2 linked regions of the Oryctolagus cuniculus genome follow. The protein of the gene in region 1 interacts with the protein of each later gene in a biochemical or structural test. Links are inferred from orthologs where the notes say so. Each region holds a gene or a part of one and is shown in the gene's direction. Other genes may lie near its edges.

Region 1 (3,518 bases):
ATGAGACTCTCCGAGAGGAAGCAGCGCCTGGGCGGGTGAGGTGACGGCCCTGAGTCTGACGCGGAGGCGAGCCCAGCGTTTCGGGGATAGGCTGTTTCCTTAGCACCACGCAGGGCCCAGCAGCCACCTGCCCCTGGCAGAACCTGTACTGAACCGGGTGACCCACCAGAGGCCCGAGAGGCAGCAACAGCCAGGCAGGGCTGAGTGACTGCTCCGGGGCGCGCCTGGTCTCATCTGCTTGCCTGCCGCGGGGCCAGGGCCAGGGCCCTGTGGGGAGCCGGCTGCACAGTCAGGCGGCTGCAGGACTGCCGGGGTGGGGGCAGCAGAGGACCATGTGTCCCCGGGACTCAGACGTCCTGACCTCGCCCCCGCCACACTGGGCTGTGCCTGTCATCGCGGTGCAGGGAAAGGACGTGAAAATGTGCTCAGGCAGAGTGGCCCGAGCCCCGGGGAGCAGTCAGGCCCGGTGCGGTTGGGTTTTTATGGACTCTGGGACTGTGGGTGTGAGGCCCCTGCCTCGGAACACCTCTCCCCGCCGGCTCTCTTCCTTCCCTTCCCGGCTCCCTGGCTCACGGAGCGCTCTCTCCCTCGCAGGCCATCTTCACCCAGAGAAGCAGGCTGGAGGCCGACCCGCTGGCCGCCAGGCGCCGGCAGGGCTTCCAGCTGGAGGAGTACCTGATCGGGCAGCCCATCGGCAAGGGCTGCAGCGCCGCCGTCTACGAAGCCGCCATGCCCGCCTTGCCTGTGCGCCTGGAGGTGGCACAGGGTGCCCGGCGCCCGGGGAGCGGCCCGGATCCCGCGGCAGCAGGAGCCCAGGAGGCGCACGCTCCCGCCACCCCTGCCTTTCCCTTGGCCATCAAGATGATGTGGAACATCTCGGTAAGGGCGGCCCTTCCTCTGCTGAGTCGGCGTCGCCCACAGCGCGGGGTCTTGGTGGGCCCTGGGGAGGGTCCTCCGGGCGGGAGCTAGGGAACGTGTGGCCCCGCCCCCTCGCCATCTCTCCCGGGGTCCAGAGCTCCCTGTAACCTGTCCGCAGCCACCTGGGACTGAGCAGCTCAGGGGGGGGCCTCGGGTCCTGCCTCTGGAGCCAGCTCCTGGGGGGTGCCAGTGCAGTGGGTCTGTGGGCCACGCAGGAGCGAGTGCCCGCACCAGTGGCTTCCAGACCCATCGGTGGGCTCACGTCTGGCCGGCCGTTGCTTGGAACCACCACCATGCTGGCGAGGAGCCGGCCCCCCCGCCCCACCCCCACCCCCAGCTGGAGGCCTCGCCTGTCAGCCCCGCTCTCAGCTCTCGGAAGGCCCTGGCAAGTAGAATACTTTCCCCGACATGAGCGTGGGTCTGTCTGTTAGAGGAATCTTTCCCCACCCGTCGAGGTTGGGTTTAGAGAATTAATCCACCCCTGGCACGCCCCTGCTCAGAACACGCACCCACGGCGGAGGCAGAGAGCGGCCCGGCCCCCCGCGCTCCATACCGGCGCGTGCAGTTTCTGGCTGGGATGCGGGCCTTGGGACCGGGAGTGTGGAGGCTTGGCTTCCCACCTCACAGCGTTGCCTCCTCCGCCTGAAGGTCAGAGCTGGCCCCAGGCACGCGGCCGCGTCTGTGTAACCCTGGTCTTTCCTGCTGCCGCTGCAGGCCGGCTCCTCCAGCGAGGCCATCTTCAGGACCATGAGCCAGGAGCTCGTCCCAGCCAGCCGAGTGGCCCTGGCCGGGGAGTACGGAGCGGTCACGCACAGGTGAGCGCCCCCCCCCCCACCTGGCCAGCTGAGTTCTTTGAGAGCCAAGTCATCGCCTGGGTCCCCGCACTCAGCGCGATGCCAGATGTGACACAGCAACAAATGTTTCCCGAATCATTTGATCAGGCGGGTTTTCAGTCGGGGGAGAATTTAGCTTGGCAAAGATTTCAGATCACGTGGCCCCAGCTGATGCAGATGGCGAATTCACATCAGAGCAGGGGAGAAAGGCCACTCGCAAATGCCCAGTTCCAAACGCGGGGGAAGTGGACGAGGCCCCAGACTCCTCCTAAGCGGTGTGCAGCGCCACCTAGTGGCTACGCCCGCTCGGGGCCCGTTGCACCAGCAGCTCCCTGCGCTGCCGGCACCAGAGTGCTGTGTCGTGCCAGAGTCCTGCGTGTGGGCAGAGCCCGGCCAGCGCAGCGCAGAGCAGAGCCAGTGTTGGCAGTGCCAGGGCAGCGTCTGCCCAGGTGCCCGGTAGGCCGTACGCTCCCTGCAGGGCCAGGCCACGCGGAGGGAGCGCGTGCTCCCTGTGGAGGGTGTTCTCAGCTGAGGGAAGAGCTGATTGGACGGTGCACGGCAGCCTGCAGGCCAGGCCGGCTCTGCAAATGCCGGCTGGGTCAGCGGCGCCCCCCAGGGAGCCGCGGGACAGCTGCGGTGCTGGTGACAGAGTGGAGGGTTGGCTTTCCCATCTCAGTCCCGTCAGGCGCAGGAAGACAGCGACGTGTGGGGATAGGCATGGAGAAGCCCTGTGGCCTGGAAGAGTCCCGGGTGGCTGAGTCCCTGCTGGGCCCCAGGAGCGTGGTGCTGCCGCCCTCCCCTCCCCAGCCCTCTGTGCAGGAAACAGCTGCCCAGGGCGGACGTGAATCCTCACTGCTGTGATGTCACCTGCCTGACGCCCCTCTGTCATTTCACAGCATGAATCGTCATCCAGCCCCCCCCCCAGATTGATTTTCACAGAGTTGCAGAGAAGGGGGGAGTCAGAGAGTCTTCCATCTGCTGGTTCATTCCCCAGACGGCTGCCATGGCCAGCACTGGGCCGGAGCGAAGCCAGGAGCCCCCTCTGGGTCTCCCACAAGAGTAGGGACCCAAGCACTTGGGCCATCTTCCACTACTTTCCCTGGCACATTAGCAGAGAGCTGGATCGGAAATGGAGCAGCCAGGACTTGAACTGGCACCCACATGGGATGCCAGCGTCACAGGTGGTGGCTTTGCCCACTGTGCTACAATGCCAACCCACCATGTAGTCTTTTTTTTAATATTTATTTATTTATTTGAAAGGCAGAGTTACAGAAAGGCAGAGAGAGAGAGAGAGATCTTCTGTCCGATTGTTCACTCCCCAGATGGCTACAACAGCCAGAGCTGCGCCAGTCTGAAGCCAGGAGCCATAGCAGAGAGTTAGATCAGAAGTGGAGCAGCTGGGTCTCGAACTGGCGCCCATATGGACGCCAGCAGGCTGCAGCTTTATCTGCTACGCCACAGCCAGCCCCCCACCATTTAGTCATAAATCAGACGTCTTTGTAGATTCGCTGCCGTCCGGCTGTGCCATAGGCGCATATCCATGGAGTGCAGGACGGCTGTGGCGGGAGCAGCTCTGCCCCACAAGCCCCCGGGAGTGTCCCCTGCCTGCACCTCCTAGGAGCCCCCCGCGAGGTGCACCTCCTGCTTCTCCGTCATCCGTCTGCACTTACCCCTCCACTCCGCCAAGCTGCCCCAGGACGGACGGCTCCTGACGCAGCAGCTTAGCACGTGCGTGGCCGCACCCCCCACCGACTCCCATGTTACTGT
Region 2 (3,518 bases), on another chromosome or scaffold:
TAGTGTAAGACCCACACTGTTTGATGTAACACGAAGGGAAAATGCTGTCAATTAAACTGATAATGTTTAACTGAGCCATCCTGGTTTGAAAGGTGTCAAAATATATAAAAAACATGTGTCCTAGATTTGATGAAAACATGGATTAATGCTAGGAAAGTACTGTGTCTATCCCCTAGGCTAGAATTCAACTGTTAGAAATCTATCAACTAGGCATTTGAAGACAAGAACAAATACATTTAGATAATTGTATGAGAACTTTGGTCTCTCTCGCTCCTTCCCTCCCCGCCCCCCTTTTTCATTGGTTAGTTCCTCTAGCATCATGCCATGTACTTATGTGTGTTTCAGATGTATTATTGAGGGCAATGGTAATAGATCACTCTTACTGTCCTTATTCATCTCTCTTGGCAGTTCTGATACCCGATTTGCAGTTTCATTGAACAACAAGGATGCCCTCACTGGAGATGAAGAGACCTTGGCTTCATATGGGATTGTTTCTGGGGACTTGATATGTTTGATTCTTGAAGATGCCATTCCAGCAGCTAACTTGCCTTCATCCACAGATTCAGAGAATTCCTCAGTCCAGAATAATGACCACCCCTCTTTGGCCGCCAGCTCCAGTCAGGCCAGCCAGCCCGATGAACAACTGCGCGATTCATTCCAAGAACAGGCAGCTCAGTCTGACGTCTGGCATGATGACAGCATGGTAGGTATGAAGGGCCCACGTGTGAAGTGGAGTAGTTGATAACTCACATTGAACTCCTCCGTTGAACTCCTGATCATTCAGGATAGTTACTACCAGGCGACTGCAGGTTACATTCTCAGAGAACGTTATTTTTTTAAAAAACTGCTAAAGGTCTGAAGCAGTATGGGGCTGTTATTCCAGAGTGTCTAGTTTGTACCTTGATGTTTTGTTCACTCACTGTTTTGGCTACAGTACCCATTGGCTTTGGCGGCTGTCTCTGTGCTCCTGATCCCCAGCTTGGCTTCTTGGGAAGCTACCCCACAAAGCTGTTCTAGTCCAGTGATTTCCACAAGGCTTGAGGACACGTGCACCCGGAGTGCTTAAACTGTTAAGTTAGTCTTGAGATGTCTAACACGAACTCGGAAGGCTGTGCACATCCCATCCTTCTCTGCCCGTCGGTGGCACAGCTGTTTTCCTGTGGTTTTTGACTCCTGATCGCCAGCCCGTTAACCAGCTGCGTCAGTTTTTCTTTTTCATGTTAGGCTTCCAATGTCTTCTTCAATCTGCTTTCAAGTTTTGCCATTTTCCTATGTTCTTCATTTTCTTGTTTCTTTGCTCTGTAGTAACTGTCTAGTAAATAGACCATAATTTTTGAGCTGAAAAAAAAATCAAGTTCCATCTGTATTTTTTTTTAAGATTTATTTATTTATTTGCAAGGCAGAGTTAGAGAGAGAGAAACAGAGAGAGAGAGAGACATCTTCCATCGCTGGTTCACTCCCAGATGACCGCAACAGCCGGAGCTTCTTTCCGGTCTCACACGCCGGTGCAGGGGCCCAAGGACTTGGGCCATCTTCTACTGCTTTTGCAGGCCATAGCAGAGAGCTGGATCGGAAGCGGAGCAGCTGGGACTGCGGCAGCGGCTTTACCCGCTGTGCCACAGCGCCGCCACAGCGCCGGGGCCTCCGTCTGTCTTAAAGAGGAAAATGTTGTCTGTCTTCCTGTTCCTAGTTTTCGAGGCTTTCTGGAAAGCTGCCTCCCCCTCCCCTTTCCAGGGCTGGTTTTTGTTCTCCCTCCTGTAAACGCCTGTCTCCTGCCAGACCAGACTGCTTCATCATCTCCACCCACCAGCCAGCACATCACAGGCTCCGGGGCCCAGGCGCACACGGCAGTGACCCCTTCTGCACCTTAGCTCTCGTTGTTCACCCACACTGAGGCCCCCTGCCTGTCCTGCCTCTCGGTCTGTATGTCTGCCCATCTCCCCAGGCCTGTGCCTGCTGTAACCCAACGTTTGATTTGATTTCTTTGGATTGTTTATCTTGTTTTATCAACACCTCTATATTATCCCATTTAAAAATTTAAAAATTTATTTTATGGTACAAATGATTACTTTTTTTACTTTTGAAAATACAAACACATGCCTTTTTGTTAATTGTTTTGTGTGTATACTTTTTTTAAAAAACAAGGATTTATTTATGTGAAAGAGTTACAGAGAGGCAGAGGCAGAGAGCGAAGTCTTCCCTTCCGCGGTTCACTCCCCAGATGGCTGCAACGGCCAGAGCTGGGCTGATCTGAAGCCAGGAGCCTCTTCTGGATCTCCCGTGAGCGTGGGAGGCCTTGGGCCATCTTCCACTGCTTTCCCAGGCCATGGCAGAGAGCTGGATCAGAAGTGGAGCAGCTGGGACCTGAACTAGCACCCACATGGGAGGCTTTACCACTACGCCAGAGCGCTGGCCCCTTGTGTGTGTACTTGCCATCTCAGCCAAAGCATTCATGGTACCTCTCATGGCATTAAGTTTAGATAGATACTAAAACAACACTTTTTAACAGATTGGTAAATTGTGGAAAATCACTTATGTCTGAATAAATGGATTTTAATTTATTTTAGAAACTATTGGATCTCTGTGTTTCTGCCTCATAGAGATAATTTAGAGAATAAGTAAGAATATTTAGATACATTTTAAAATTGCACTTCCAAGGTTTTTTTTTTTTTTTGCTGAGCAAGGGATAACTTTAGTAGAAGGGCTTATTCTCTGTGTACATTAAACAAGGTGAAGCTTTTCATAGCGTAGGAGAATGTTGAGAAGTTAGTGTTGCCTCAAGTTAATAATTTCAGTACTAAAACCATTGTGTGGTATTCCAAGGGTTGTGACTGGAAAAACTCAGCATGGTAACCAAGCCTAAATAACCCCGTGAGTACTTGATACAGTATGATCTGCTTCAGTGTGGAATGGAGCCATAGAAAAGGAAATAGATGGGGAAAGTTTAAAACCATAGGAGATACATTTCACCCTTGTAATCAAACAAGAAATTGATTTTCTGATTTCACTGTCTTTGAGAACTCATCTAGTGTGTGTTGAGTCTTTAATGAGGAACAGAGGTGGAGGTGTCAGAGATCTCTTAGGTACGTGTTAGTCACCCATTTCAGTCCCTTGCCAGTGGCCGTGGCAAAGTGATCTGCTCTGAGAGGTGGTGCCCAGCACCCAGCACGTGTGAAGAAGATAACCGTTATCAGCGCGGCTCAGGGCGTGGGCCGCTTCTCGCGGCGTGGGAGGCCGTTTGGACAAGTCTGCCGGGGCCTTGCGCTCTTCCTCCTGTGTGATTATCAGCTTAGGGTGACCCTGTTTCTATTTTCCCACAAATGTGAGAACAGCTCTCACCTCTCACTCCACCCTTTCACTCACACTGTATAGTTTTAATTTCCTCTGCCCTTTCTTTAGCGGGAATACAGATGTAAAAGGAGAAACATGTGCTTTGCCTTAAGAGTGGGGCTCTTGCCTAGGAAACAAGCTTGCCGAGCAAAGCTAACGTAGCTGACTTGGTTTCGCTGAAGCTGTGT

What was found.
Region 2: the proteins of PINK1 (region 1) and FBXO7 form a complex in vitro, tested with the Homo sapiens proteins (2 studies listed by BioGRID, with this or other methods). The link is inferred for Oryctolagus cuniculus from reciprocal best matches to the Homo sapiens genes PINK1 and FBXO7.

What each region holds. Positions count from the first base shown.
Region 1 is NC_091438.1:150,132,077-150,135,594, reverse strand, and holds part of PINK1 (serine/threonine-protein kinase PINK1, mitochondrial), read left to right. Parts: intron 1-594; coding exon 595-879; intron 880-1,632; coding exon 1,633-1,733; intron 1,734-3,518. UniProt on the Homo sapiens protein: Serine/threonine-protein kinase which acts as a sensor of mitochondrial damage and protects against mitochondrial dysfunction during cellular stress.
Region 2 is NC_091442.1:110,392,223-110,395,740, forward strand, and holds part of FBXO7 (F-box only protein 7), read left to right. Parts: intron 1-408; coding exon 409-703; coding exon of another isoform or gene 704-707; intron 708-3,518. UniProt on the Homo sapiens protein: Substrate recognition component of a SCF (SKP1-CUL1-F-box protein) E3 ubiquitin-protein ligase complex which mediates the ubiquitination and subsequent proteasomal degradation of target proteins and plays a role in several biological processes such as cell cycle, cell proliferation, or maintenance of chromosome stability.